Linked DNA regions of Sus scrofa. The protein of the gene in region 3 interacts with the protein of the main gene of each other region in a pairwise test. Links are inferred from orthologs where the notes say so. Each region holds a gene or a part of one and is shown on either strand. Other genes may lie near its edges.

Evidence for each region.
Region 1: the proteins of SDCBP (region 3) and SSNA1 interact in binary tests that used the Homo sapiens proteins (3 or more experiments, as listed by UniProt). The two-hybrid records come from large-scale screens. The link is inferred for Sus scrofa from reciprocal best matches to the Homo sapiens genes SDCBP and SSNA1.
Region 2: the proteins of SDCBP (region 3) and NADK interact in binary tests that used the Homo sapiens proteins (3 or more experiments, as listed by UniProt). The two-hybrid records come from large-scale screens. The link is inferred for Sus scrofa from reciprocal best matches to the Homo sapiens genes SDCBP and NADK.
Region 4: the proteins of SDCBP (region 3) and ABI2 interact in binary tests that used the Homo sapiens proteins (3 or more experiments, as listed by UniProt). The link is inferred for Sus scrofa from reciprocal best matches to the Homo sapiens genes SDCBP and ABI2.
Region 5: the proteins of SDCBP (region 3) and DRAP1 interact in binary tests that used the Homo sapiens proteins (3 or more experiments, as listed by UniProt). The two-hybrid records come from large-scale screens. The link is inferred for Sus scrofa from reciprocal best matches to the Homo sapiens genes SDCBP and DRAP1.
Region 6: the proteins of SDCBP (region 3) and HOXA1 interact in binary tests that used the Homo sapiens proteins (3 or more experiments, as listed by UniProt). The two-hybrid records come from large-scale screens. The link is inferred for Sus scrofa from reciprocal best matches to the Homo sapiens genes SDCBP and HOXA1.
Region 7: the proteins of SDCBP (region 3) and TMEM239 interact in binary tests that used the Homo sapiens proteins (3 or more experiments, as listed by UniProt). The two-hybrid records come from large-scale screens. The link is inferred for Sus scrofa from reciprocal best matches to the Homo sapiens genes SDCBP and TMEM239.

The regions. Positions count from the first base shown.
Region 1 is NW_018084833.1:710,054-714,066, reverse strand, and holds SSNA1 (Sjoegren syndrome nuclear autoantigen 1), read left to right. Parts: upstream 1-1,564; 5' UTR 1,565-1,650; coding exon 1,651-1,702; intron 1,703-2,180; coding exon 2,181-2,380; intron 2,381-2,645; coding exon 2,646-2,753; 3' UTR 2,754-3,182; downstream 3,183-4,013. Other genes in the region: ANAPC2 (anaphase-promoting complex subunit 2), read right to left, coding at 497-1,119, 1,396-1,500. UniProt on the Homo sapiens protein: Microtubule-binding protein which stabilizes dynamic microtubules by slowing growth and shrinkage at both plus and minus ends and serves as a sensor of microtubule damage, protecting microtubules from the microtubule-severing enzyme SPAST.
Region 2 is NC_010448.4:63,845,909-63,850,087, forward strand, and holds the end of NADK (NAD kinase), read right to left. Parts: intron 3,967-4,179; coding exon 3,812-3,966; intron 3,692-3,811; coding exon 3,353-3,691; intron 2,851-3,352; coding exon 2,768-2,850; intron 2,469-2,767; coding exon 2,282-2,468; 3' UTR 742-2,281; downstream 1-741.
Region 3 is NC_010446.5:74,304,359-74,308,567, reverse strand, and holds part of SDCBP (syntenin-1 CG9291-PB), read left to right. Parts: intron 1-839; coding exon 840-918; intron 919-3,248; coding exon 3,249-3,358; intron 3,359-4,209. UniProt on the Homo sapiens protein: Multifunctional adapter protein involved in diverse array of functions including trafficking of transmembrane proteins, neuro and immunomodulation, exosome biogenesis, and tumorigenesis.
Region 4 is NC_010457.5:106,859,787-106,863,995, reverse strand, and holds part of ABI2 (abl interactor 2), read right to left. Parts: intron 3,131-4,209; coding exon 2,948-3,130; intron 1-2,947. UniProt on the Homo sapiens protein: Regulator of actin cytoskeleton dynamics underlying cell motility and adhesion. Functions as a component of the WAVE complex, which activates actin nucleating machinery Arp2/3 to drive lamellipodia formation.
Region 5 is NC_010444.4:6,408,572-6,413,343, reverse strand, and holds DRAP1 (dr1-associated corepressor), read left to right. Parts: upstream 1-1,408; 5' UTR 1,409-1,689; coding exon 1,690-1,731; intron 1,732-1,977; coding exon 1,978-2,050; intron 2,051-2,164; coding exon 2,165-2,258; intron 2,259-2,539; coding exon 2,540-2,867; intron 2,868-3,078; coding exon 3,079-3,167; intron 3,168-3,508; coding exon 3,509-3,614; 3' UTR 3,615-3,721; downstream 3,722-4,772. Other genes in the region: C2H11orf68 (UPF0696 protein C11orf68 homolog), read right to left, coding at 1-456, 1,146-1,312. UniProt on the Homo sapiens protein: The association of the DR1/DRAP1 heterodimer with TBP results in a functional repression of both activated and basal transcription of class II genes.
Region 6 is NC_010460.4:45,476,193-45,480,875, forward strand, and holds HOXA1 (homeobox protein Hox-A1), read left to right. Parts: upstream 1-1,368; 5' UTR 1,369-1,467; coding exon 1,468-2,122; intron 2,123-2,603; coding exon 2,604-2,959; 3' UTR 2,960-4,114; downstream 4,115-4,683. UniProt on the Homo sapiens protein: Sequence-specific transcription factor. Regulates multiple developmental processes including brainstem, inner and outer ear, abducens nerve and cardiovascular development and morphogenesis as well as cognition and behavior.
Region 7 is NC_010459.5:32,837,202-32,840,671, reverse strand, and holds TMEM239 (transmembrane protein 239), read left to right. Parts: upstream 1-1,582; coding exon 1,583-1,619; intron 1,620-1,738; coding exon 1,739-1,892; intron 1,893-1,983; coding exon 1,984-2,512; downstream 2,513-3,470. Other genes in the region: C17H20orf141 (uncharacterized protein C20orf141 homolog), read left to right, coding at 717-985, 1,070-1,310.

The DNA.
Region 1 (4,013 bases), on a different chromosome or scaffold from region 3:
CCAAGTGGCCACTGAGAGCAGAGGGTCCACACGACAAGACCTGGCTGTGACACCAACAAAGTCCTCTCCTTTCAAAGGCCGCAAAAGCAACCTGTTCGCCCAGCCTGTCGGGCTCATCTCCTAACTTGTCTTAAAGACAGAAGAACAGCAAGCCCATCTTTCGCGAGTACAGGCAGGATAAACGTCATTCCCCCACCGCCACCCCGACAGGCTACAGAAGGCACAGCAGAGCGCTGTAGGGCCCAGAAAATTTGGGATCCTGTCGGTCTTAACGGAAGCAACGTGTGAAACCCTGAGCTAGTGTGAGTGACAAACACGCCTGTGACCAGGTGGAAAGGCATAAACTCCCAGCACAATGTTCCCGGAGCCCCTCCTGTGGCCATGTCCCTGACTTCCAGGACAGGTGACAGAGACCGCCCCCAGCCGGCTCGCCAGCTCTCTCCAGAGGAGCAAGCAGGAGCCAGGAGGAACAGGCAACGCAGGTGCAAGTACTCACAGGACTTGGCTGAGGTGGTGGAACTGCTCCAGCGCCTGGCGGCACCAGCACTGTTGCTTGTCACTGCCACACCCGGCGCACAGCGGGCTCTGCAGAAGGCGGTAGTACCGGCGACGGGCGTACCTGCTGTCCAACTCCCCCTCCAGTTCAGGATCTGTGCCCCCTTCCCCTTTTCTCTTACTCTGCATGTATACCCTCAAAAAGCGCCCATAGAGACGCTGGATCATCTCCTGGAAAGGTCTGGGGGTGGAAAAGAACAGGACGCCCCGCACGGTGGTGTGGACCTTTTCGCGAAGGCCCTGGGCACCAGTGCCCATGAGCAAGCCCAGGCGAGTCCACTTCTCCAGGAGCTCTAGACTCCGCAGGTAGGGATCCAGGCGGCTCTCCAGCAGACCGAAAGCATCGAGGAGCAGCAGAAGGCACTGGGGCTCGTCCGCGCAGTTCTCGCGCTGGGAGATGGTATTCCAGAACTCGAGGGCGATGCTGGCCTGCAGGTCATTCTGGAGCACCTCTACGAACCATTCCTCCAGGACCGAGTGCAGTCCGTGGCTCCTGAGAACCTCCACCGCCGCCCGGAGCTCCTCCTCCTTTGGAGGGACCGCGCCGCTGGTCCGGGAGGATGCCTGGATTACAGAAAACTGTGAGTGGAAGGAAACACCACGCAGAGATGGAGAAGACGGTTACTGGCAGGCAAAGGCGGGAAAGGCAGAGAGGAGGGGAGCCCACGGAAACGCCGCTGCGCTTCGTCGCAGGGATGCACGGCCGACTCTCGGAAAGGGCTGTCGAACCAGGAGGGAGTCTGGAGAAAAGCGGCACAGGGACCCGTAGAAACCCGAGGAGAGGCCGCGCAGGGTCCTGGGCACCCCACGCGGGCCCGCCGCCCTCTTCTCGGGCCTCACCAGTCCCAGTGCGGCCGGCGGCACCAGCCCGGTGCTCACGGTATTCCACGCTACCAGCAGCTCCTGGGCAGGCCCGGGGTCGTTCTGCTGCTCCGCCGCCGCCATCTGCGCCCACCAGCTCCCAGAGCCGCCCCGTGTGGCGCGGGGAGATGACGCAGGGCTGGGCGCGCGCGCGCGCGGCGGTGACGTAATCCGGGCCCGCCGGCAGGGATGCGGTAGCGGCGGTTGGAGCGGCCGGGACCCCGGACGGCCACCATGACCCAGCAGGGCGCGGCGCTGCAGAACTACAACAACGAGCTGGTCAAATGTGCGCGGCCGCGCGGCGGGGCTCCCTGGGCTGGCGGGGAGGGCGTGGCGTCGCCGGCCCGCAGGGCCCGGGCGGTGGTCGGCTCGCAGCGCGCGGCCGAGTGTGTTGTACAGTCCGTAAGCGGCTGTTCCTGTCCGGGCGGCGCCAGCGCCGTCGGACCTGCCCGACGCACAGCCCCGGTGTGGGGCCCGCCCCGGGCGCTTGGTATCTGTGGAGCGAGCGAAGGACAAGCGGCTTGAGCACGCACGGCCTCCCAGCCCCGCGCCGAGGGTTCTGGTGCGGTGCCTACTTTAACCCTGAGTCCCCCGGGACGTAAGACACTGGCCTGGCTCGGGCGGAAGGTGGTCCAGCCGGCAGCCGGTCCTCCGCTGCCTTTCTCTCTCCTACCGAGCAGCGGGCTTCAGAGTTGGGGGGTGGGGGGCGGTGCCTTCTTGCCTGCCCTGGGCCCACAGCCCCTGCCCCTCTCGGCCCACCCCAGGCATCGAGGAGCTGTGTCAGAAGCGGGAAGAGTTGTGTCGACAGATCCAGCAGGAGGAGGATGAGAAGCAGCGGCTGCAGAATGAAGTGAGGCAGCTGACCGAGAAGCTGGCCCGAGTCAACGAGAATCTGGCCCGAAAGATCGCCTCTCGTAACGAGTTTGATCGGACCATCGCGGAGACAGAGGCCGCCTACCTCAAGGTGGGACTTGGGGCCTGCATGTTGGGACAAGTCCCAGAAGGGCCCACCGACAGGCAGGCCGAGGGCCCACTGTGGAGTGACAGAGCAGCTGCTAGCGTGGCTTGGACGGTACTTCTTCCTGCGTAACTCCCTAAGACCAGCAGGAGCCAGAGCGACTCTGCAGGGAGCGTAGGGTAGACTCAGGAGGAAAAGGGCCCTGGCAGGGAAGGGCTGTGGGAGCTTCCCAGAGGGGGGATGGTGTAACCACTGGCGTTTCTGCTCCCAGATCCTGGAGAGCTCGCAGACTCTGCTTAGCGTTCTGAAGAGGGAAGCAGGGAACCTGACCAAGGCCACAGCTTCAGAACAGAAGAGCAGTGGAGGCAAGGATAGCTGACAAGGCCGCCGGCAGAGGGGCCCGCCTCCACCGCGCCCACCTAGGGCTTCGCCTCCAGCAAGTCTTCACGGCCTCTTTGTTCTTCACGGCAGCGGCTGCTTTCTCTCCTTGTTCTGGGTGCCGAGAGGCAGCTGCCAGCCACCACTGGCTCTGGGTGACAAGGAAGGCCTCGCTGCAGCCCACCAGCTGGGTGTCCTGGCCCTGTGCTCACACAGGTTCTGGGTCGGTCAGTTCTGCTCGGCCTCTGAGGGCCCCCCCACACCCCTGGGCTGCAGGGAAGACCCCGCTTCTAGTCTCGGCATCATGTCACCCTCACCTTATCACTTGGCCAGCAGGTGCCCAGGCAAGTGGGAAGGGGCCAGGGCCCTCCTTCACCTCAGAGCTGACCCTGGGGCCGTAACGTCAATAAAGGTTGTCTTTGTTAAGATACACGCCACCCTGCCGCCTGTGTCCTGGGTGGGGCTGCTGGCCACCCTAAGCCGGAACACAAACCCCTGCTCAGCTGTAGTGGGGCTCCTCTGTGAGCGGGCGAGGAGAGGGCCTGGCATGACTTTCCCTGTGACTGGCCTTGCTGGCCTTGGGGACCGCTAGGGGTGCCGCTAAGCATGTCCCGAGACGCTTGTCGCCCACCTTCCCCCTCAGAACTGCTGACCCCTTCCCCAAGCCCAGCACCCAGCCCAGCTTCAGGGAAGGCACTCTGGCCGTGGGCCGTGGTCTCGGCCTGGTGCAGGGAGACACTCTTCCTGGGGCCGGGTCCCCCGGCCAGGGATGCAGCCCAGCTCTGACTGCTGACTGCCCCACCCTCCCTGGTCACACTGCCTGGGGCCCAGCTCTCATCCCGAGTCCCCTCCGGGTCCCTCTCTCTTCACCTGTCTGTCCCTTTGGGGGTGGGGTGGAGGTTGGAGGTTGGGAAGCACGTGTTGTTGACCGAGTCTGGAGAAAGCTGGGCCCGCCGCTCCCAGGAAAGTGCCTTCCTCCAGCCCAGGCCTGGCCGGGGCGTCTCCCAGATGTGTCTCTCCAGGAGGAAAAGCCCTGCATTGGCTGCTGCACCGGGGTGGCCTGGCTCCCCAGGGCGGCCATCCTGCTCCCTGGGGGCAGTTCCATCCGCCACCTCTCTAAACCCATCGATTTCCCTGCTGGCCCCGCCCCAGGGGAGTGGTCTGCCTGTGGCGCAGGGACCCTTCCAGTCCAAGCAGAAGCCAAGGCCCTCTGAGCTCTGCCTACCCCAGGCTCCTGTCCCCTCAGGGAAACTGCCAGAGC
Region 2 (4,179 bases), on a different chromosome or scaffold from region 3:
GTCCCCTCTGACGCACTCCCAAAGCCTGGAGGGGCGAGGTTGGGCAATGCCTTTTCCCTCTGGCCCGGAGATTAGCTGGCCGGCCGGATCCAGCCCTTAAGTAGGCGCTGTTCCCGGACGCAAGGAGGCCCAGCCAGCCTGGGATGGCACACAGCCGGCTTATGTGCGGAGAGCCTCAGGCCCAAGTGCCTTCTGCCACCTGCCCGGGCAATGACCGCAGACACCCTGCTTCCTAGCAGACCTGCCGGCCGCCAAGGCCCACAGTGGAGGGGACAGCACTCATGGCCACTGAGACGCCTGGCAGGAAGTCCCCCCCAGATGCCTGGATGGGAAGGGCTTATCAGGCATGGCTGTCTCCCGCAGGGGCAGGGCCTGCACTCAGCCCCCGCCAGCCCCAGACGGCCACTTATGTCTGAGCTACGGGTGGCCTCTCAGCAGTGCGCACGGGCTGGTCGCCATTTCTCCCGGGCTCCTGCCCAAAGGGCTGTGTCCACAGCATCTGGTCTGGCTCCCAGCAGAGCCTTCGTCACGTCCACCCAGGCCTGAGCAAGGAGTCCCGGGAACCAGGAGGGGGAGGCAGGAGCTCCAGGCTGGGCCATGTCCCTGGTGGAGCAGGACCCATGCCCCAGGACACGTGCCCAGGGCAGGCTCCGCCAGCTGGGACCTGAGGCCCTGGCCCATTCGCCTCAGCATCCTGGGGTTGGTTACGAAGAACCAAATAAAGTTATCATTCAACCCAACTTTTAAAACAAGTCTGTTTATTGAAAGGATCCGAAAATAGTAATAAGGCTTTCAACATTTAACAAATTTCCCAGTTATTAACAATATGAAACATTAAGAATTTACTTCAAAAAACCCAAAGTTCCGCAGGTCACTGTGCGTCATGCTTTAGGACTTGGTCAACACGGGCTGTCTGAATGAGTGACCTGAGTGCCGAGCCTAACGCTGCCAGTGGGGCTCCCTCAGGCCACTGGCTGTGCCGGGGGCTTGCAGGCAGGTGGCGCGAAGCGATCCCCTCCCAGCGTGGCCGGGCGCCCAGGCAGGTGCAATGGAGGCAGACAGCGGCCACGGCGCCCAGGCTGCAGAGCCAGCTCCGGAGACCTCCGGCCACAGTGGCCACACGTGTGCCCCAGGTGCCTTTTTCTCAGCCTGCGAACCCCCAGGTGGGCAAAGCACAGCCCCCCGGCCCGTCATTCCAGAAGCAGGTCCAAGAAAGGACAGGCACCCGTCCGTTCTGCTTCCGCAAGAAACGCGATTGAGAGAAAGCAGTTCTCAGACACAGACGCCACGTTCAAGATGCCCAGCGGATCGGGGCCAGGCTCCCACCAGGTGCCACACAGCTCTGGCATCCGGCAGCTGGTGATGGCGCACGAGGGCTGAATGTGAGGGTCCCTCCCGAGCCCACAGGGAGCAGAGCCGTGTTGACATGCGACACCCCCACCCCGTCACAACCGTGGGGCCCCCCGGTGCACGGGTCCGTCAGCCGCGGGGGCTGCAGAGTGGTCCCGGAGCACAGGACATGGGGCGAACACTGGAATGAGGCTCTGAGTGGGACGCGACCCGGCCCCGCCCCGAAAGCTCACAGTGTGCGCCGCGGTCTGCAGGCAGCACTTTGAGGAAGTGCGACAATCTCTACAAAGGAGACTCGGGATTGAAACACCTGCTCCACGAGGAATGTGTAGAATCGACCCCCCGACCCCGCCGTGGCCGGGCTGGTGCTCCGACGGCAGGGGGCGGGGGGTGAGGGGACCAGGGCTTTGGAACCAAGGCAGGAGCAACCAGGCAACTCAGGCCGACCCTGAGCCGGAGCGGGAGGGGACCCGTCTGCCTGCCAACCAAATGCCGCCTGCTCTTGGCAGAAGTGTCCCAAGTGGCATCAGGGGAAGGTGGTGGTGGCTGAAGGAAGATTTTTGCGGTGAGATGTTTATTTTTCAATAGCAAAGGATAGCTCTGTCCACGCTGCTCCCCCCTCCCAGCGTCAATCAACTGATTCACGGAGGTTTCCAGATGGGGAATTAAAGAGCTCATTAAGCTGGGGACCCTGCCGGGCCTGGGCTCCGGAGATGCTGGGTGGCTGTGCCCGAGTTGGCCTCCAAGCTCCCAGCCATCACGCTCGCTTGTTTAGAAATGCAGAAAAAACTCAGATTTGAAACGTTAAAAAGAGCTGATCTGGTCGACAAAAAAGCCAATTTCAGGCCCTCCCTCTGGCCACAGACTGACGCGGCGCCTGCCACCTGCGCTGGGCCTGTGAGACTCACAGTGTGCGTTTGGGCCAACAGGCCTAGCTCCCCGAGCCGCCCTCCTCGTCCCCGTCCCCCGCCTCGTCGCCCCCCTCGTCCTCCGGGAAGTGGGCCTGCCTCTTCCGCAGGTTCCAGTGCAGACACTGTGCCAGGCTCTCAAACCAGTCGCTCACGGGGTCTCGGACGCAGACGGAGGGGAGCGGGTAGCAGGAGGTGGTGATGCTGATGCTGCAGCGGGAGAGAGGCAGCGTCACCCTCCCGTGAGACCTTCCCGGGGAGACGCCACCCTCCCCACGGGCTGGGCCGGCTCAGCTCTGCCCACGCCCCCTGCCTGAGGCCTGGCCCCAGGGCCTCTGGTGCCCTGGAGGCAGAGGGGTGCTCCTGGACCCCCAGGGGCAGGTGCAGCTGGCAGGGCGCTGTCACCCAGGCACAGGTCTGCGACGTGATCATGTCAGAACCGGGGACAGGCCCGCAGGGCTCTCAGCCCACCAGCTCCACCTGTCCTGTTCCGGCCCGCGGCCACACACCTGTCTCCGTGGCGGATCTCCTGTCTCTTTCGTCCATCGAAGGACACCCACGCGGTATTCCTTGCTTCTGGTGACAGCATGATCTAAAGAATCAAAAGCAGGACAGGGGTACCCTATGAGAGTGAGGCCAGGAGCGTGAACCCCGCCGGGGGTGGCACCGCCCAGGGGATTCACAGGCACCCACACAGTGCCCACTACGTGCCCGGGTGAGGTAACTTGTGTCCTGTGGACACGACCCCGGGAACGGAAGGCAGGTGTCCATCAGGGCCAGGTGCCTGGCTCCGGCCCCTCCTCTCTGCCCTGCAGACCCAGCCCGCATGTCAGGGCCCAGACCAGGACAGGCTGGTCCGGGGTGGCCTGCAGTGGGGAGCAGAGCACAGAGAAGGGGTGGACATGGAAGGACAGAGGCCCTGGGGGACAAGAGGGCAGGGTCCTTCCTCACCTGCCGCCCTCACTCCACCCCCACCACTCAGGCGGAGATCCTGCCTGTGGGGCTGGCCCAGCTCTCGGCGCTGCCCCCGCCAACCAGACCCCAGGGACCAGGCCCTACCAGGGCCCCAACCAAAGAGGGTGGGAGGCTCTGACCTTCAGCTCGACCCCTGCAGGGACCACAATAGGCCGGAAGGACAGCGAGTGGGGGCAGATGGGTGTGACCATGATGGCTGGCACGTTGGGGTGAATCATGGAGGCCCCGGCGGCGGCCGCATACGCCGTGCTGCCCGTCGGGGTGGAGACGATGACGCCTGGAGAAGAGGCGCAGGGTGGCACTGGTGCGCACGGCCCCCGCCCGCGTGGAGCCCCAGGCAGGCCGGGCGCCCACCTACCATCGCCCTGCACCGTGGTGATGAGGTGCCCGTCCAGGTAGACATCCACGTTGGACAGGTACGAGGAGGGGCCTCTGTCGATCACCACCTCGTTCAGCACCTGGGGGCGAGGCCGGTGCACTCAGGGGCTGCAGTGCCGGGCGGCCCTGGGCGCTGGCAAGGTCCCGAGGGCGGGGGGGGGCACAGCCCGGGGGGCGGGGGGGGAGGGACCCGGACAGACCTGGTACTGCATGACCTGCTTCCCGAGCTCCGCGTCCAGGGCTGTGGCCAGCATTCCGTGCTCGCTGACCCCGTTGGGGACGGCCAGCTTCTTCCCGCAGAGTTCCTTCACGACCCTGACCTTCAGGCGGCTCCGCAGAACAATAGCCGCGTTGCCTGGGGGCCAGCAGGGGTCACGCCCAGGCCGGTCAGCAGGGAAGGGGGCTGTGGCGCCCACAGGAAGAGAGCCCCCCTAGCCAGAGACCGCCCCCCTGCCCTTTCTGCTCCCAAACGAGCACCGCCCTGCCTCCTGTGGAGCTCAGCTCACTGCCCCCGGGCACGTACAGAGGCCTGATCCTGTGAGAGCTCCAACGTCTCACGTCAGGGAAA
Region 3 (4,209 bases):
TTACCTAGACTTATTAGCAAAAGAATAATAAAAATGTAAAATGTGTAACCATTCTATAATGCATTTTGAAAATATTAATTTGCAGTAGCACTATGAAATATTGATTATAAAAAATGTGGTTAGTCAAGTTTTATAGCATAGCATTTTTTGTTTTGTTTTGTTTTGTTTTTGGCTTTTTAGGGCCGCACCTGCCACATGTGGAGGTTCCCAGGCTAGGGGAACCTATGCCACAGCCTATGCCACAGCCATAGCAACGCCAGATGCGAGCCTTGTCTGAGACCTACACCACAGCTCTTGGCAATGCCGGATCCTTAACCCACTGAGCATGGCCAGGGATCGATTCGTTTCCACTGCCCCACAATGGGAACTAGGATAGCATTTAATATTTATAATATGAAATATATTTTTGATTTGTGATTTTCTTTGAAAATATATTGCTGGAAATTTGAAGTTAAAATTTCTTGGGAGTTCCCATTGTGGCTCATTCGTAACGAATCTGACTAGTATCCATGAGGATGTGGGTTTGATCCCTTGCCTTGCTCAGTGGGTTAAGGATCCAGCATTGCTATGAACTGTGGTGTAGATCTCAAATGCAGTTTGGATCCTGCGTTACTATGGCTGTGGCGAAGGCTGGCAGCTGCGATTCCAATTTGGGAACTTCCATATGCTGTGGGTATGGCCCTAAAAAAGCAAAAAAAAAAAAAAAAAAAAAGACTTGATTAAAAATAGTGTTTTAGTTTCTTTTTGGATTTACTGGATTTAACTTATAAATTACATAAGAATTTATATAAGAAGTTTAAGTATGTTTATAGAATTGTTAGAATTGTCTTCTTTTTCAGGCTCAAACTGCTTTTTCTGCAAACCCTGCCAACCCAGCAATTTTGTCTGAAGCTTCTGTTCCTGTCTCTCAAGATGGAAGTAGGTTTACACTTTGGTTCATTCTCCTTAAACAGAGATAACTTGTTAACTAAGCCTTCTTTTGCTGAAAGAGGGATTGCAAGATTTTTTTTTTTTTTTTAACATGCCTCATGAAATTGGTGGTTAAAACCTGGTAATAGGGGAGTTCCTGTCATGGTGCAGCAGAAACAATCCGACTAGGAACCATGAAGCTGCAAGTTCAATCCCTGGCCTTGCTCAGTGGGTTAAGGATCTGACATTGCTGTGAGCTGTGGTGTAGGTTGCCACCATGGCTTGGATCCTGTGTTGCTGTGGCTGTCGTGTAGGCCGGCAGCTGTAGCTCTGATTGGACCCCTACCCTGGGAACCTCCATGTGCTGTGGGTGTCGCCTTAAAAAGCCAAAAAAATAATTTCCTCTAGTAGTAGGAAATTTTTCTTCCAAAAAATAATTCTTTAATCAAGAAGTGATGAGTATGGGAGTTCCCGTTGTGGCGCAGTGGTTAACGAATCCAACTGGGAACCATGAGGTTGTGGGTTTGATCCCTGACCTTGCTCAGTGGGTTAAGGATCTGGCGTTGCCGTGAGCTGTGGTGTGGGTCACAGACGCGGCTCGGATCCCGAGTTGCTGTGGCTCTGGCATAGGCTGGTGGCTACAGCTCCGATTTGATCCCTAGCCTGGGAACCTCCATATGCCCTGGGAGTGGCCCAAGAAATGGCAAAAAGACCAAAAAAAAAAAAAAAAATTGAGTATGAAGGTGTGTTTTAGGGCTTAATCAAAATTAAGTTACTTAAGTCTCAGTGCTCATACATAAGTCCTTAACCTAGGAGTGATTCATTTGTGAAAAAACTGAACTTTCCTAACTGTCCTCTGTCTCTTCAGGACTTGTGGAGGGTGGGGGCAGGGTTGAAAATTCCAGCCGCCTCCTTTTGAGGGCACTTCCTGAATCCTGGGATCTACTCAGGCTCCATATCCTTCTCTTTGATCCCTTTTCCTTCTGCGCTCATAGGGATTCAGGACAGAACCCTTAAATAACATGACCTAAAGATACAAAAGGAGTGTTAAATAGGTTTTTGTGACCTGTTATAACATTGTTCCTTTTAGAAAATCCATTTTGGGGAGTTCCCTGGTCGCCTAGCCATTAAGCATTGTCGGTGCCATGGTGTGGTCTGAATTTCTGCATGCCATAGGCACAAAAAAACACAAACCAAAATATAGAAGACCCATTTTAAGTCACAAATAAAACATGTGAAAAAGAGCTTTTGGAAATATTTGTACTTAACTGTACCACTCAGTTCAGTACTTCAGTATTTAAATGTCCTGTTTCCCAAGATTTCATTGGTTAACTTTTTTTTTTTTTTGTCATCTTTTTAGGGCAGCAGTCTTGGCATATGGAAGTTCCCAAATTTGAGCTGCAGCTGCTGGCGTACACCATAGCCAGAGCAACACCAGATCCAGGCCATGACTCTTAGCTACACCACAGCTCACTGCAATGCCAGATCCTTAACCCACAGAGCAAGGCCAGGGATCGAACCCAAGTCCTCATGGATATTAGTCGGGTTTGTTAACCACCGAGCCACAACTGGAACTCCATCATTAGTTAACAATTAAAATGATATGACACTAAATAAATTTACAAGCTTTGATTTTTTTTTGGTGGGGTTCAGAAGAATAATTTTATAGCTGTTTAGTTATAAAGCAGCTGACTTGACAGTATACATTTTGGTCAGTTCTTTTTTTTTTTTTTTTTTTTTTTTTTTTGTCTTTTTAGGGCCACACCCGCAGCATATGGAGGTTCTCAGGCTAGGGGTCTAATTGGAGTTGTAGCTTCCGGCCTACACCACAGCAATGCCATATCCGAGCCATGTCTGTGACCTACACCACAGCTCACAGCAACACTGGATCCTTAACCCACTGAGAGAGGCCAGGGATTGAACCCGCGACCTCATGGTTCCTCATTACTTTCCGCTGTGCCAGGATGGGAACTCCTGGTCACTTCTTCTTAATTGGAGAATCAGTGGTATCTTTACAAAATTCCTAATCAACTAGGCTTAAAAAAAAGGAGAGGGAAGATAATTAGAAAAATTATTTTTACTCTTGAGTACTTAGAAATCTGAGGTTTCAGTTCAAATGTCTTCATATTTTACTTTCACCTGTAACTTTTTCTGTTTTATCCATTTCTAATTGTCATTACAGAGATAGAGTGGAATTTTCCAAGTAGCTAATTTAAATTTATTCTAGATTTTATAAATTAAATGTAATTTTTTAGTACAAGTAGAAGTCCATAACAACAGTTTTTGAATTTTCAACCAGTGTTTTTTTTTCCCTTTCTCTGTTCATTCATTTTTATTAGATCTCTATCCTAAACTATATCCGGAGCTCTCTCAGTACATGGGCCTGAGTTTAAATGAAGAAGAAATTCGTACAAATATGGCCGTGGTCCCTGGAGCACCAGTTCAGGGGGTATGTATGAATTTTGAATTACATAAAATCATACTTTACACATAGATAGAAGCTAATTCCTCATTGTGCCAAACCCCAAGATTTATAATGTTAGCGTTGGCCTCTTCTCAGGATGTCACTTCTCACATAGTCTACTTCCTTTTGTGCTGTTACTTTTCTAAGTTATTAGGAGTTAAAGATTCAGATGCCTTGACCAGTCCATTCTCCAGTTACGGAGACCTAGTGATTCTGTTTCTATCATGTTTCCCATTCTAGTCCTGCTATATATACGCCTATTCAGGGTTTCTGTACTTCTAACCCAGAGTATTACAATAGACTCTTACTTTTCCTTTAGTAACTTCTCTTTTCCAGCAGTACTGAGTTGCTCCTAGATTCAGCATTCTGAAGTCTAAAGCTTCATGAAATTAGACTCCAAATTCTTGGCTTAAATATAATGTCTGTCTTTTGTTCAGATTATTGCTGTAAGGCCACAGCACTTGTAGTGAAATACTTAACTTCCTGACAACAGGGTCCACGCCTATGCACCATGATCCTAGTGCTGGATACAGTACCTGCCTTTATTTATTCACCAAATAATTTATGGAAGACTTGCTTACATCAGTCAGGGCCCAGTTGGGACAATAGAAATCATAGTAAATATTTAAAACAAAAATGGAACACAGATGTCTCTGCAGAAAGTAGCTGTTTCTCTGACGACAGGTCAGAGGTTAGAGTTTCAGGGTGTGAGCCGGGCCTCAGAGGAGGGGACACTGCTGTGGGTACTGTCACCTCGGAGGGGTTTGGAGGTCTGATTTGGGGGTGTGGTAAAGTCTGGAGAATGGAATCCACTGCTGCCGGCAGGGCGAAGGGCT
Region 4 (4,209 bases), on a different chromosome or scaffold from region 3:
TTGCCAAAGGGTAGGGGGGAGGGAGTGGGATGGACTGGGAGTTTGGGGTTAGTAGATGCAAACTATCACATTTAGAATGGATAAGCAACGAGGTCCTACTTTATAGCACAGGGCACTATATCAAGTTTCTTGGGATAGACCATGATAGACGATAATATAAGGAAGGGAATGTATATATACAAATGACTGGGTCACTTTGCTGTACAGCAGAAATTGGCACAATGTTGTACATCAACTATACTTTAATAAAAACAAAAACTCTATTCATACCATTAATAAGGCATTTATTTTGCTTTGAGTCAAAAAAAACCAAAACTACAGTTTAATTACCATAGACCTAATGATAAAAACCTAAAACTAAAAACTACTAAAAGAAAACAAGAAAATATTTTTGACATCTATAAAACAAAAAGTTTGTAAATTTGACACCAAAAGTACAATCTAAAGGGAAAAAAAGCAATGAATTGGGAATAATCAAAGAATTTTTGCTCTTTAAAAGACACCATTAAGAGAATGAAAAGTCACAAAATGGAAGAAAATATTTGCAAATAATTTTATTATTTGCATAATCAATTAAAGACTAATTCAGAATGTGAAAGAATTCAATAAGAAAACAAACAACCCTATTCAAAAGGTATGTGGGGGGAAGCAAAAACATTTAACAGACGTTTCATCAAATATAAACAGATGGCAAATAAACACATGAAAAGATGTTCTACATCATTATTCATTGGGGAAATGTCCACAAAACCACAAGGAACTATTATACACCAATTAGAATGTCTAAATTAAAAATATGTGTGTAAAGAATAACAATACCACATGCTAACAAGTGTGCAGAATAAGTGGAAGTCACACACTGCTGATAAGTGTGCAAAACTGTACAACAACTTTGGAAAACGATTTGTCAATTTCTTATAAAGTTAAGCATTCACTTCCCATATTATCCAGCAATCCTACTTCCTAGGTATTTACCCAAACAAAATGAAAACCTATGTACACATACAAGTCTATGTATGAATATATTTGGCACTTTTATTCATAATCACTCACAACTGAAAATAACACAAATTTCCCTCAATTGGGTAAAGTATTAATAAAAAAACTGTGGTAAACCCATTCAATAGAACACTATTCAGTAATAAAAAGGAACAAACATGTAACAATGGATAGATCTCAAATGCACTGTGCTAAAAAGACAGACCCAAAGGCTTTATCACACATGCTTCGATTTATGATATTTCTACAAAGGCAGAAACTTTAGAAACAAAGATCAAGAGGTTGCCAGGGCCTAAGAGGAAAACAGAAGGACTGATTACAAAGGGGCATGTTGGAAATCTGAGGATGATAGGACTGTTCTATGTCTGGACTGTGGTTGAGGTAGTATCATTGCATACATTTGTCAAAACTCACAGAAGCTGCACACTAGAAAGGGTGAATTTTAATCTACAGAAATTATACTTTAATAAAAAAAAGGAAAAAAGTACTTGGTGATTCGAAGACATGACATAAAAGGGACTGATATAAATTTTTAATAAGGCATTTACCTTGCTTTTTGTTAAAAAAAACTATAATTCTTCACTCATACAATAAATTTTTTGAGTGCAGATGAGAAACCAGCAACTGCTATTAAGTTGTAATTTAATTACTAAAATGTAGATGCTAGATAAGAGTGATTTGTCCTTTTTGGGCCTACAACTGATTTAAGATGAATTCCTTATTCTACTGATGCAGGAGCATAACATGATTCTATAGTTAACTAGCTGGAGTGACCTAACAGAGTTGTATATATATCAAAGGACAGCTCATGTTTACATTTACCCCTGAAAAAAGCTTTTCTTAAAAAATGCTATTACAGAAGCTATGCCATTAAACACCATCCAAAATGGATGGATTAAAACGGACTTTTAAAATGTCTTTTAAAACATCTAAGCATCTTGGAGTTCCCGTTGTGGTGCAGTGGTTAACAAATCAGACTAGGACCCATGAGGTTGTGGGTTCGGTCCCTGGCCTTGCTCAGTGGGTTAAGGATCTGGTGTTGCCGTGAGCTGTGGAGTAGGTCGCAGACGCGGCTCAGATCCCACTTTGCTGTGGCTCTGGCGTAGGCCGGTGGCTATGGCTCTGATTTGACCCCTAGCCTGGGAACCTCCATATGCCACGGGAGCAGCCCTAGAAAAGGCAAAAAGACAAAAAAAAAAAAAAAAAAAAAAATCTAAGCATCTTGGCATAACAGTAGGGCTGAATACACATATATTATGAAGTACTTTATTAACCAGCTAAGGTGATGTGTGTCCAAGCACATACATTTTTACAGCAGATCAGAAACTGTTTACAAACCAGCATCATTATTAACTTTGCAAATAAACTGTAGCAATTGCACCTTTTTCTCCTTCCCCATCAAAACAGTCTTTAGGTTGCAATGTTAAAACACCAAAACACCAGTCGACCTTAAGGTACAAGTAAACTTGAAATTCTTAAAAAGACCGCTGTCTATTTGTTTACTAGGCTGCTACAATACGCAATGAATTCTGTTAAAATAGACTTATACTTTAAACTGTTATATCAAATATTTCCTATAAAACATACCTTAAAATTGTCACAGACTTTTCTTTTTGTTGATGACTTAACTGTAACAAAGAATACTTCTAACGACAACTTCTCAAAACTGTACAGAAGACAGCGCCATACTAAATTCATGAATCTCTAGTAAATGAAATTTGAGTAATAAAAACTGTGTATTTGTGCTACTCTATCAGAAAAATAAGAACCTTTACGCAGATTTCCTCAGGAAATTCTATTCTTCAGTCACATGCCATTTTCTAATTACTACCTTAGTCTCAATTTAAAAAAAAATACAAACCACAACAAAAAAATCATAAAATCAAGTTCCAAGTAAGAGAAGAGCCAGAGGACTGGACTGCCTGCCAAGGAATAAGCCCATACTCACCTGTAGGGGGAGTGGAAGAAACAACAGGGGGAGTTGGAGAAGTGAAGCCATCAGCAAGGGTCTGGGCACCCCCAGCAGCAGCGTCTGGGGCAATGGAGGAAGGGACAGTTGCAGGAACAAGAGGGGCAGGGGCAGATGCAGAAGTAGCAGGAAGGGGAGGAGTACCAGCAGAGCCAGCAGGGGCTGGGGGAAAAGAGGAGTAAGAGGCAGCATTAATGAGGCACTTCCATTAGGCAGGATTAGAAATGGTATTAGAGAACTTAATGTTAGATACTAAGTGTTTATCAATAACCAAAGAATAGAAGAGAGTGTTAAAAAAAAAAAAAAGAATGAAGTTTATGTTAAGGATTATTAGGTTTGCAGCAAATAATTCAAGATGCTAAGGGTAATGTACAGATTGTAAAATTCATTAAAAGCATTCCTTTTGGAGTTCCTGCTGTGGCTCAGCAGTAATGAACTCAACTAGTACCCATGAGGCAGGTTTGATCCCTGGCCTTGTTCAGTGGGTTAAGGACCTGGCATTGCCATGAGCTGTGGTGTAGGTCACAGATGTAGCTTGGATACCATGTAGCTATGGCTGCGGTGTAGGCCAGTAGCTACAGCTCTGATTCAACCCCTAGTCTGGGAACTTCATATGCCACAGGCACAGCACTAAAAAGCAAAAAAAAAAAAGCATCATTCCTTTTCACTCGACAGCCACTATTCTGGAAGAAAGGTGCTCCTTTTATATTGTTATTTTTACCATAACATTCTGTAATAGTATACAAAATTAAACATAACACCAGAAAACAACAGTATGGAGTTCTCGTCATGGCTCAGTGGTTAACGAATCCGACTAGGAACCATGAGGTCACGGGTTCGATCCCTGGCCTTGCTCAGTGGGTTAAGGATCCAGTGTTGCCGTGAGCTGTGGTGTAGGTTGCAGACGCAGCTCAGATCTCGAGTTGCTGTGGCTCTGGTGTAGGCCGGCAGCTGCAGCTCCGATTCGACCCCTAGCCTGGGAATCTCCATGTGCCACAGCAGCGGCCCAAGAAATGGCAAAAAGACAAAAAAAAAAAAAAAAAAACCATATTCCATTTTGATTTACACGAATCAGAAACTAAACATGTATCCAGACATAAACATCTTATTGGTAAAAAAGAATTTAGAAAAATACAAATCTCCTTTTCATGACTTTTAAAAAGATATTATCTATTTGTTATTAAAGCAAATTAAATATGTAATATCCTATCCTTAATGTCTTTTGGGTCATGTTTTAAAAA
Region 5 (4,772 bases), on a different chromosome or scaffold from region 3:
TCGACCACGGCTCGAGCAATGCCAGCCCAGGCGTGATCCAGCTTGAAGCCAGGTGCCAGGTGTATCAGCCATTTGCCCGAGAGCACGTGGTGGGTGATGGCCAGCTGGCGCAGGGTACCTGGTGTGACGGGGCGCCCGCTGGTCTGCAGAGCCTCCCAGGCTGCCTGCAGGCCCTGCACGTCGCCTGAGTTGGGGACATAGCCCTGCCCATATGCTGCAATCCAGCCCACGGGCTCAGAGTTGGGAGAGCCAGGGTCCCCATAGCGGGTAACCTGGGATGGTGGGTACTTGGCCAACCAGGCATCCAGCTCCGTGGCAGGTGTGGTTCGGGCATCAAACACCAGCCAGGGGTCCATGTCAGCTGCCATGGCCTCTGCGGCCAGGTGCTCAGCAGTGAAGCCATCTTCACGACCACCTGGAGAATCTTCATCCTCCAGCTCCTCGCCTGGTTCCATCCTGCCGGGTGGGAACCAAGTTAGGGCAGGTCCAGGACAGATCCAGCTTCCTGGGCCTGAGCACGTAGGTGCCAGGCACTGAACTAATCCCTGCGGCCTTGGGCAAAACTTAATGTCTCTGTGCCTCAGTTGCCTCATCTGTACAATGAAAAATAGCTGCTCCCGTCTCAAACAGCTGTAGAGAATTAAATACTAGGAGGTGGAACAAGAACTATATAAATGCTGTTACTATTATCACTACTATCCTTGACCTACAGAGTAGGAAACTGAAGCTCACAGAGGAGGGGGCTTACCCAAGGTCACACCTGCAGTGCGTGAAAGGGCCGAAAAGTGAACTCGGGTGTGGGGGCCGCCGGCCCAGCTGCGGCTCCCGACGCTGCCAAGGCAGGCGGGTCTCCCGGGCGCTGGGATGTAATGGAACGAGGCACCCCGACAGGCCCCACAGGGCCAGGCCTCCAGGCGGGCGTTATCCCGCCTACTTAAAGACGAAGACATGCAGGCCAGAGAGGGCAGTGACCAATCCGAGGCCAACGGGCCGAGCCCGGACTCGAACCCAGGCTTGTTAGAGCCTGCGGGAGGGCCAGCCTCCCGCCCCGCCGCGCCCGCCGCGCCCGCCGCCATTAGTGCTCACGGCCCGAGCAGCGCCCCTGCCCCGCCCCGCCCTGCCCCCTCCCGCCGCCCGGGCGTCACCTCCGGCCTTCGCTGCGCTCGGCGCCGGCCCAGCCCCGGGCCCGGCTCCGCTCCTGCCGGGGCTCCGCGCCGCCGCCGCCGCGCCCCGCCCCCGCCACGGCTGCAGCCGCCGCCGCCATCTTATTGCCCCGCCGCCTCAACAACAACTTTATAGACAAGCGCAGCATAGGGCGGGACCGGGGGGAAGGGGCAGGGCCGTCGGGGCGGTGCTGACCCCGGGGGCGGGGCCATTGGGAACGCGAGGCGGGGCGGGCCTGCGGGGGGCGGAGCTAACGTTCGCTCTTCAGGTCTTGGGGGCGGGCGGTCGCGGCCGTCCAGTCCCGGACAGACGCGCACCGGGCGGGAGGCTGTGAGGGGAGGGCGCTCGGGCCCCGCCGGCCGAGTGCTGACCGGCGGCGCTAGGACCCTGTGGGGGGAGTGGCGGGGGCGGAGGAGGCGGCACCAGGACCCGGGGGAACCGCGGCGGGCGGGCGACGAGCAGGCCCGGGGGCCGGGAGGCTGCGGGCGGCGGCGCTGGGCCCGGCGCGGCGAGAGAGGCCCCGAGATGCCGAGCAAGAAGAAGAAGTACAACGCGCGGTTCCCGCCGGTGAGCACGTGGCCGGCCTCGGGAGGAACGAGCCGGGCTCTCGGGAGGCTCCGGCCCAGGCCCGGCCAGGGAGGCGGGCGCATCGCGCCGTTCGGGGGCCCGGACGCCCCGCCCCCTTCCGTGCCCTCTCCGCGTCGGTGCCCCCCGCCCCCTTCCTCCCGGGATGCTCCCTCTCTCTGCCCCCCGCCCCGCGCACCCTTTCGGGGGCCGCGGCGACGGGGTCCGAGCTCTCTGCCCCTTCCTCAGGCACGCATCAAGAAGATAATGCAGACGGATGAAGAGATTGGGAAGGTGGCGGCAGCTGTGCCTGTCATCATCTGTATCCTGTCGAGGGCTGGCTGGGTTGAGGGAGGCGGGGGAGGCCGGCAGCCCCGGGTCGCTTTTTGGGGGCCAGGACATTGTTAGAACCCGCGTTCGCCTTGACGACCCTCAGCTCGGGCGCTCGAGCTTTTCCTGGAGTCACTGCTGAAGAAGGCCTGCCAAGTGACCCAGTCTAGAAATGCCAAGACCATGACCACATCCCACCTGTGAGTGGCTCCGATCTGGGAGGGCTCGTGTGGGGCCTCCGCCCGGAGTCCACACGCTTAGGGGAGGCTGTGCCCTGATAGGGAGGGAGGTGGGAGGCGGCTGGGCGAGGACTCAAAGGCTGGTAGGTTTGAGTTGGCAGGGACTGGGTATTCTAAGAAAGGGGGCATGGCTGGGATTGAAACGATCCAGGCTCTGTTCCCCTGACATCCAGAGAGCACTTTGCTGAGAGTACAGACATCTGTGCCTCACCTGAGTGCCATTCCCTCCCCACCTCTTCCAGGAAGCAGTGCATTGAGCTGGAGCAGCAGTTTGACTTCTTAAAGGATCTGGTGGCCTCTGTGCCTGACATGCAGGGAGATGGGGAAGACAACCACATGGACGGGGACAAGGGTCCTCGCAGGTGGGGAGTCAGTGTCCATGTGGGGAAGGCCAAGGCCCCCGGGGTTGGAGGTGTCTTGGGGGATGGCAGAGGAGTGGGGAGACCTCTGGGCAGATGGACTCCACCTTCCCGAAGGGGCCGGAAGCCAGGCGGCGGCAGCCGGAAGAACGGTGGCATGGGAAGCAAAGGCAAGGACAAGAAGCTGTCGGGGACAGACTCGGAGCAGGAGGTGAGCTGAGGCCCCAGCCCTCTGTCCTGCCTTGCAGGGTGGAGAGGGCAGCCTTGCATCAGGCCAGGCCCAGCTGGCTGGAGGCCTGGTCCCATCCTCACCTGTGACCTCTTTGTGTTGGTTGCCTTGCACATGGCGGCTGCAGAGGTCCGGCTTTCCAGTAATGGGCCCACGCCTTTCTTGTCGCCTCTGATTCCTGTCTTGTTCCCAGGATGAGTCTGAGGATACAGATACTGATGGGGAAGAGGAGACATCACAGGCCCCATCCCAGGCCAGCCAGCCCCCTGCCCACTTTCAGAGGTAAGCAGGTCGGTGGCACCCAGAGGGGGCCAGCTGGTCCCCAGCTGCCTTGTCCTTTCTGACCGCTCAGGCGCCTTGGTTCTGTTGGTTGTGGCAGATTTGGGAGACGGGACGGGAGGAACTGAAGAGGACTTAACGGCTGGGTTCTGTGCTCTCAGAAAGTCCCCTCCCCCGGGCAGGGCTGTGTGCCCTGGGTCCTTCCCTTCTCTGGGCTCGGCTCCCTGCTGGTAGAGGGCAGTGGGCTCCAGGCCTGCCTGGCTGGAGGACCGGGTGGGGCTCAGCGGGCAGGACTGGGCACAGGTGAGTGGCCTGATCTTCCTTTCCCACTTTCTGCCCTGCAGCCCCCCGACACCCTTCACGCCCTTCACCTCGACTCTGCCTCTGCCCCCAGCGCCCCAGGTCCCCGCAGCACCTGACGCAGAGGACGAAGAAGATTATGACTCCTAGCGCCCTCTGCCCCCCAGGCCACACCCCCTTTTAGCTGCTCTGGGGGGAAGAGGGTAGAGCTGTTCTTAAATTTATTAAAAAAAAAAATAAAAGGGAATTCCAGTATCCGTCCCAGCTCTTGTCCAGGGCCTAATGGCCTCCTTCCCCACACTGAGCCAGGGCCAGGGCGGCTGGGCAGCAGCTGACTGAAGGGGGCCGGGCCCGGGGTGCTGATGGCGGGAAGGTGGGCAGAGTGCTGGAGGGCCTGAGCCGGCAGGTGCCAGTCATGCCGGGAGACAGCCTGTCTTGTTGTGCCCTGTGACCCTGGGCGGGTTCCTACTCTGAGTAGCCTGTTCTTGTCTCTCTGAGGGAGACCATTCTGCCCCCTCTGGGCTGCTGCAGAGAGACAGATGGGACAGGTGACAGAGACAGCTCTTGAAAACTAGAGCTGGAGCCAGTGCCCTTGAAGGGCATGTGGGAAGGGCAGCGGGAGCAGAGGTAGGTGAGGTCATGGGGGACCTGGAAGGCCGGCTTGTGAGCCCCCAGGGGCCCTGAGCAGACCCTGGAGCTATGCATACGAGGCCGATGAGGCGGATGTGTTGTGTTCAGGGAGCAGCGGCCTGGAGAGGCCAGGGCAGCGATGGGCAGCCTAGAGGTCCGGGTTGCCCACAGACGTGAGTGCTGATGGAAGGGGCTCCTCAAGGACTCGGGTGTCTTCGCGTGGGGGTGGGGGTGGGGGTGGGGGTGGGGGTTCTCCTCTACCCAGGAGACGGGGGAGAAGAGGGTTAGGAAGATCACAGGGTCCGCTGTGATGAATTTGGGGCGCTGTGAGCCCACTGAGGCGGGGTTTGGAGTGGCACTTGGGTGGCAGGGCTGGAGACAGGTGTGTGAGCAGAGCGTGGGAGGGCCCTGGGGGACCCCAGAGGGGCCCCAGGAGCCGCTGCGGTGCCCACCAGGGGCTCCAGGGAGGAGGAGCAGAGGCGGGGAGAGCGGGATGGGACTGGCCGCGAGGGGAAGCAGCGCTCAGGACTGGAGGTGGAGACCACAGAGGGCAGCGGCTCCCGGTGAGGGGGGGGTGCGAGCTTGTGAGGGAGGGGCTGCAGGGATGGCAGGGCACTGAGGGCCGGAGATGGGGTTCCTGCGAGCCCCCAGCCTAAGGGAAAGGGGCGCGTGGGTTTG
Region 6 (4,683 bases), on a different chromosome or scaffold from region 3:
CAGATTTGCACGTGTCTCTCTAGGGAAGGACTTGAAGGTTCACACAGGGAACCACACAGCCAGTTTACAAAAGGGAGGAGGTGTTGTTGGGGAAGAAGAAAATGTCCTGTCCACCATCAGCCATCTGTCCACTGCCCCTCCCACCTGCCAGCCCCCACCCCCACTTCAGCTGTGCAGTAGAATGGGGGGGGGGTGGATGAAGGAAGCTCTAGCACGCCTAACATTCGCCTCCAGGAAACGAGAAACGTTTCTGGGGGTGGCGGGGTGGGAGGGGAGGTGGAGGGGGAGTTCATCGTACTTCACTGTGGTCTCGCCCTTTGAGGCCCAGGTCGGTGTACACAGGCTCCTGGGTCCTAGGGAGCCGGCAGATGGCCTGCAGCGCACGGCCCGGCCCCCACGCTGGCCACGTCGGCTAGCGTCATCTCTCTCCCCCGCCTCCTACCCCTCAAAATCCGGCAGCAGAGTTGCTCCGGATCCCGCAGGGCTCCCAGAACAGAGCTGAGTGGGGAGGAGAAAGGGGCGGAGAGCGAGGAGAGAGGGAGGGCGAAGAGCCGGGCCACCCCCGGCCTTTTCCGGCAAGCTTAGCTCCCAAGGTTCACCCGTTCCCGAGCATCGAATTACAGCAGCTCCCCGTTGCCACGCTAACAGCTCGTGGGGGTGGGGGAGGAACGGGGGCTTCAAGACCCTACAGGGAGAGGGAAGTTTCCTTTCTTGCGCTTGTCCCCTCCACGCCCACTCGGGTTCCCCCAGCCAGCCCTCTGCGCACTTCCCTCTCCTTCCGGAGACCTGGTGGTGGCCCAGCCTCGTCCCCCGCCACCGTTCTCGGCTCTCCTCACTGCCCCCAAGGCATCACAGAAGGGACGGCAGTGAAAGCGCCCGGGGAGCGACCCTTCCAGTTCCTCGCGTTCCGGGCTCAGCCAGTGTGCAAGTGGCGGCCCAGCGAGCTCCCTCCCACTGACTCCCGACCCAAGAGAGCGCGGAGCCCTCTTGGCGTCTCACCTCTTGCCAGTTCCTCTTTCTGTGCACGGTGGGGAGGGGGGCGGTGACCGAGGATGGCTCTCAGCCCCCACCTCCCGGAGGGGGGCGATCGGAGTCGGCCACTCGCAGAAGGCAGCCCCTGCTCCCCTTCGCCCCAACGCTGGGAATCTGCCCCTGCAGCCGCCGCAGCTGCTGCTGCCGCCCGGGCTGCCTGGGGGGGCGACTGCGCGTCACCTAGACTGAGGAGCGCCGGGGATTTAAATGCCACTGAAAGGGTGATCCATCACCGCAGGAGCCAGCAAACTTTCGCAGGAGGCTCCGCCATTGGCTGAGAGAGTCACGTGCCCCTCCCCTAGCGCCCTCCGCCCTCCCGCCCCCCCTCTTGCGCACTGTACATTCATATCATTTTTCTTCTCCGGCCCCATGGAGGAAGTGAGAAAGTTGGCACGGTCACTCAGGGCTTCGCAGGACCCGGTCACTCAGTGACAGATGGACAATGCAAGAATGAGCTCCTTCCTGGAATACCCCATCCTCAGCGGTGGCGACTCGGGGACCTGCTCAGCGCGAGCCTACCCCTCCGACCATGGAATTACAACTTTCCAGTCGTGCGCGGTCAGTGCCAATAGCTGTGGCGGCGACGACCGCTTCCTAGTGGGCAGGGGGGTGCAGATCAGCCCGCCCCACCACCACCACCACCACCACCACCATCACCACCCCCAGCCGGCCACCTACCAGACTCCTGGGAACCTGGGGGTGTCCTACTCCCACTCGAGTTGTGGTCCAAGCTACGGCGCGCAGAACTTTGGCGCGCCTTACAGCTCCTACGCGTTAAATCAGGAAGCAGAAGTAAGTGGTGGGTACCCCACGTGCGCTCCCGCTGTTTACTCTGGAAATCTCTCATCTCCCATGGTCCAGCATCACCACCACCACCAGGGTTATGCCGGGGGCGCGGTGGGCTCGCCTCAATATATTCACCACTCATATGGACAAGAGCATCAGAGCCTGGCCCTGGCCACGTATAATAACTCCTTGTCCCCTCTCCACGCCAGCCACCAAGAAGCCTGCCGCTCCCCTGCATCAGAGACGTCTTCTCCAGCGCAGACATTTGACTGGATGAAAGTCAAAAGGAACCCTCCCAAAACAGGTCAGTCTTGCCCTTCCATGAATGATCCTTGATTATTCAGGAAGGAGCCGGTATGCTTAGTTTCCAAGGAAAATTAATCAAGGTTTTGTTTTGTTTTTTTCTTTAAAATTCTTGCTTCCCACCGGTGTTGTAGGGTGTTGGGAGGCTGCCCAGGTGTGGTTGGCACAAAGGAACATCTGGGATTGTTGTGTTTCCAAGGGGGCTGAGTTTTAGAGGTTTTGGAAGTAGGACGTGGGAAAGTGGGTAGGTGTGTATGTGTGTGTTAATATCTCCAGGCTCCATTAATCACTGGTCTGACCATGCTAATGGGTGACTTCAGATGAACGCTTTACACCTCATCACTCACCCTCCCAAGCCCGGCTTGTGTTGAGAAATTCTTGATTCCCCCTTTGCCTGAATCTTGCTCTGAAGCCTACAGGGACTCTCATATCGAATATAAATTTTTTCCCCTTTTTTCCCCATCGCTTCCCCTTGCCCTCAGGGAAAGTTGGCGAGTACGGCTACGTGGGTCAGCCCAACGCGGTGCGGACCAACTTCACCACCAAGCAGCTCACGGAGCTGGAGAAGGAGTTTCACTTCAATAAGTACCTGACGCGGGCCCGCAGGGTGGAGATCGCCGCGTCCTTGCAGCTCAATGAGACCCAGGTGAAGATCTGGTTCCAGAACCGCCGAATGAAGCAGAAGAAACGAGAGAAGGAGGGCCTCTTGCCCATCTCTCCAGCCACCCCACCGGGCAGTGAGGAGAAGGCCGAGGAATCCTCCGAGAAGTCCAGCTCCTCGCCCTGCGTTCCTTCCCCGGGGTCTGCTACCTCAGACACTCTACCTACCTCCCACTGAGGCCGCCCCAGCCCCAGACTCGACTCTTCCGGCTGGGACTTCTTTCCCAAAGCACATTCTTAGCTTATCTTCCTGTCCATTTACAATCTCTCTCTTCCTCTCTGATCCTATCTGGGGAACTCCTGGCCAGGATACTGTGTTTCCAGTGAATTCTGGATTAGAGACTGGTGTGGGGGCAGGGGAGTGCTAGCTCCGCAATGCAAATTGAGTGCCAACATCAATTTTCTCAAGGCCCCTAACGCCCCTAGTTTTAGGAGATTTCTTTGACAGACCCTACAGTTCCTTTCAGATGCCCTTTGGAAAATAGTCTCCTTTGCCAGCAGAAACATGTCAGAGGGAGGCCTCTCATCTTATATCTAACCGTGTATTTACAGTTCTCCCCTACTCTGCCCTTAAAGTAGGATAGAGAGAGAAGAGAGTCCAGGAGCTCATGAGGAAGAGATGCACTATGAGCGTGTTTACACAATTAATTCACCCCTTAATTTAACTCAGTTTCATGTGTGTGAGTCTGCTGGTTGTAAATACTTTGTCCTGAAAGATTTATCTTTATACAGATTTTCTAGAAATGTTTAGATTAAGGGATGAAAATAGGGTGGGCAAACTCTCTAAGCTGGTACAACTTTGTATGTGATTATAGGTTAAAGACTAAAAGCTCCCAGTAAAATCAATCAGAGGCCTCAGAGGGTCGCCTCCGTTTGTTCTTTCAGCAAGTTAAGAAAGCCTGCAGCATAAAGGGTCAGAAACCTGGCTCCCTGGGCTGAGTCTCTCCCCATCCCCACGCCTTTCTCCTTTCTCTGGCCACACTCTTTCAAATTTGCGCTGGAGTATTCAGGACCCAAACGTATTATTTCACACCAGCTTCTTCCCTCCACAGTTATTGTAGCTGGATATGATGTATTTTTAGCTCAGTTGTTAATGTGATGGATGGCACAATGAATGTATATTTTGTGTGATTCGTGAATAGTCTTTTGCATGTCGCACAATGTCTTGATGTTCCCGAAGTACCACACTGAGTTTTATCAGTTATCCTTTGTGATAGTTCCCATTTCCTGTACAATCATGAACAGCTCCGAGATCCCAGAAGGATGTGATCCAGAGCAGAGTTTACGGGTCTTAAGATGTCTGTAATAAATATATTCAAGTTTCAGATATGCTTAAGCATCTCTGTGTCTGGCTTGGCTACAATTTGTTGGTCCCTACAAAGTTGGCTCCTTTCCTGTGGGGAAGGGGAGAAGGGTGTTGTGTATTTTCAAAGAGATGGGCCTCTTCTTGGAAAAAAAAAAAAAAGGGAAATACTTTTCATATGGAGCTGATGCTTCCCCAATGAGTGTAATTGCACCTAACCAATGTGCATGCAATAGGTTGATTCTCTTTAAAAACAGCAGCAGTTCCTTTACGATCATCAGAGTCCATCATGGAAAAAATGAATGGTGAAGAAATAGATGAAGCAGATCTATTTTTGAAACAAACATAGATACTTCCTGGGTCAAGTGCTAACCTTTTCACCTCCAACTGAATGTTGACGTATATATAAACAGAATCCCCTTCAAAGGCGAGACTCTTCAGTCAGTCTTTCCTCACATCAGTGAACCAAGAGCTAAGAGATTCACATTTAACTGGCTCCAGTATAAAGCTGTTTGGGGATGGGGCTCCCACCCAACCCCTCTTCCTCCTTTTTGGCTTGTCTGTGACAGTGTGCCAAATATTCCACCCTTTAAATCGAG
Region 7 (3,470 bases), on a different chromosome or scaffold from region 3:
CTAAAGAGGCCCCTCCTGTCAACCCCACCCCACCCCCTCTGGCCCATTTACCAGGTCATATGGGAACCCTGCCCCAGAAAGCCTCAGGTTGCTTCCTGGCAGAGTCTATCTCTGCATTCCAGGACTGCAGTTCTGAAAAATCCCCCACAAGAGCCCACTGGCATCATCCTACTCTCTGGGGAGAGAGCTGGGGACAGACTGATTGAGTCACTTGCCCCTGGACACACAGCCCAGGAAGCTCATAAGGCAAAGAAAGCAGCCCTTCCTCCCTTGGAGAGCTGCCCATACAGTGATGGGGTTAGAATGTCTTCCCAGCAACACAGATCCCCACGGGAGGGCCCTAGAGTGGACGATTAGCAAAGGCAAGAGGATGAGTCTTTAGTTCTCCAAAGTCAGGCTTCCTCCTATCAAGCCACAGCAGCTACTTAGGAGGCCAGAGCCAGCAGCAGCCCCCTCCCTACCCCAGGGCCCCCCAGGCAATAAGTCACAATGCTCCGGCTACCCAGCCCCCCAGAATGGCTGACCCAAGTGGGAGGAGATGAGGAGGGTTTGGTGGGTGGGTGTGTGGGGAGGAGGAGATTCCCGAGAAGCCCAGCTCTCCACTGCTTGAGCTCACCCTTGAGTGTCCGCCAGGGCCCCCCATCGCCCTCCCCCATGGTCTCATCCCCCAGATTCCTACCCTTCCCCATTCCTTGCTGTAACTGCCAGCTCCCTCCATGACCCAGCTCTGCTCATCCAGGCCCAAGGGCCCTGCTTATTCTATCCCAGGCCTTCCCAGGGGCCTGGGTGCTGGGGAAGGATCGGGTAGCCCAGTGGGTCCATGTGTGTCTCCTGGGGGCCCTAGCCCAGCCCAGCTCCTGGACAGTGTCCTAGGGCTGGGGGCACTGGGGCTGACAATTTGGGCCGTCTTTTCCACAACTGGCCCAGCCTCACTGCTGCTGCTGCTGCTACTCGTCAGCTTCCTGGCCTTCGATCTGCTCCACCGGTAAGTGCACAGCAGCTTAGCAGGCGGGCAGGTGCACAAGTGGTCAACCTCCCAAAGCCCAGCTGCCACCCTTTCTCGCCACAGGCCTGCAGGTCCCACCTGGCCACAGCACACACATCCACGTCTCACAGGGGGCCAGAGTCAGGGCGCCGGCGAGGGTCCGGGACAAGTGGAGGCTCTACTCCTGCCCACGGTGGGCACAGGACAACTCGCCCTCCAGGAGGCTCTGCTGATGCTGCTCTTGGGCCTGGGGCTCCTCCTGGGAGCCCGTGGCATGCCCTTGACCCTGCTAGCCCTGGCTTTCTGTCTCCATCCTTGGGCTTGAGTGTCCTCCAGAAATACACTGGCCATGCTATTTCCTCAGGCCTTCTTTCCTCCACCCTGGGCTGGGCAGATGGAAGGATACTCTTTCTCCTCCAGCCTGAACCCCAGGGGAACCTCTGCTCCCACAATAGGGACAGTGGATACCTAGGTCTGAGTCCGAGGACATCGGCCAAAACCGAGATAAAGGACAAGGAGCCCAGAGGAGGATGTGGTAGCCATCTCAGAGCCCGTAGGTTGGGGTGGCTAGTCTGGCCTCCTGGGTGGTTCTAGAGAATGAGGGTCCAGAGAGAAAGACTTGCAAGAGAGCAGAGTGGGACTGGATATCAGCCAGCAGGGAAGGGATGAGGGGATCCGGAGAGGGCTTCCCACAAGGAAGCATGAGAAACTCCCCTGCCAGTCCAGAGAGTCCATGAGAGAGGCTCAGGTAAGGCTCATGCTCACACCCTCTCTTGGCTGGACCCCACCCCAGCCCGGGTCACAATGGGGCTCCTCTGGGGAGGGTGAGGGGAGTGAGAGTGGGAGCTCAACTCTGGCTGCCAGGCCGTCCTGGGCGCTGCAAGAAGCAACATGACTTAGGTGGCTCTGCCAGGAGGTAAGACCCAGGCCCCAGCTCCAAGCCCCACCCCACCCATGCTGGTACCCTCCTGACCCCTGCTACCACCCCCACCCACCCATCCTGAGGTCCCAGGCATCTCCAGGGCTGCTCCTGCAGCTGGCCTGGCCCTCTCCCCAGGTGCACCAGCCGTGATGCAGCAGCTGCGAGTGGAGACAGATGCCACCGGAGCCGGTGAGGGGCCACAGCGTGCTGTGCCCTGGACGGCCTGGCTCACACGGGACAGCTGGGTGCGCTGGTGCATGTGCCACATGCCCCCGAGCTGGGCCCAGTGGTGGATCACATCGGGCTGGCGGCAGCCGCTGCAGCGTGTGCTGTGGGGTCTGGAAGGGATCCTCTACCTGCTGCTGGCGCTGATGCTCTGCCATGCACTCTTCACCACCGGCTCCCACCTACTGAGCTCCCTGTGGCCCGTGGTGGCTGCAGCGTGGCGCCATCTGCTGCCGGCTGTCCTGCTGCTGGCGCTCAGTGCCCTCCCCGCCCTGCTCTTCATGGCCTCCTTCCTGCTGCTGTTCTCCACGCTGCTGAGCCTCGTGGGCCTCCTCACCTCCATGTCTCACCCAGGCCTTGCTCAGGACTTGGACCAATAGAAGGGCGACCCCATCCTGCTGCCTGTGTCTGTTGAGCCCTGGCCTAGGGCCCGAGGCCCAGGGGAGAGGGAGGGCAGTGGGACCAGGGCCTTCCTGCCTCGGCAGGCTCCAGACCTTCAGTCCCTAGCTGGGGCTGGTCAGGGCCTGCTGGCAGGGTAGGGGCATCTCTCTCAAGCTGATCCTCCAGGTACTTGGTATGGGGGGCCAGGGCATAGGGCAGAAGGCTGAGCTGGGAGCAGAGCTAGGCCAGGCCACCCAAAGCTCCCACGTGCATGTGGTGACACCCCTGGGACACCCTTAGCAGCTGGCAGCATCTTTTCCTTGCAGCTGCTCAACTGTCTCCGCTTCGAGCTCACAGAGAACATCTACCTGGGTGCCCCTGGACTTGTCATTCACCCCGCCAAGCCCGTCTTTCCCCTTCCCCAGGCTCTAGAAAGAGCCCAGTGACAGAAACTTGGCTGGGAGAGGGCCGGCCAGAAGCCACATGAGACCTCAGCCAAGCCTCCTCCCAGATTTTCTGCCCATCCATTCCCCACTCCCTAGACTTCCTACCTCCTGCCTCAGTCTACATCCTCAAGTCTGGGAAATGGGCCAACAAGGGTCATGAGGTTCCCAGAGAGCACCTACGGCTTAAGACTCCCTAGGTTTGCTAGGGAAAAACAAGTCCCATTTCACCCACCTACGCAATGTGTGGCCTTCGCCAATTAATTCTTTTGAGCCTTGGTATAAAGTGGGTCCTGTCATGGAGCTGTTGTGAGTCAAAGGCAATAATACCAATGTGTGAAGGACTTTGTATAAAGGCCAACAAGCCAGAAGATAAGAAACTCTAAAGAGCAGAAAGCTTCTCCAGGGCTTCAGAGAAATGTTCTGGCATAGATACAGTTTGGACCATACAATGGTAAACAGAGGATGGATGGGTGTGAACAAGAGGTAAAAGGTTGTGTGCCATGGGAGTTCC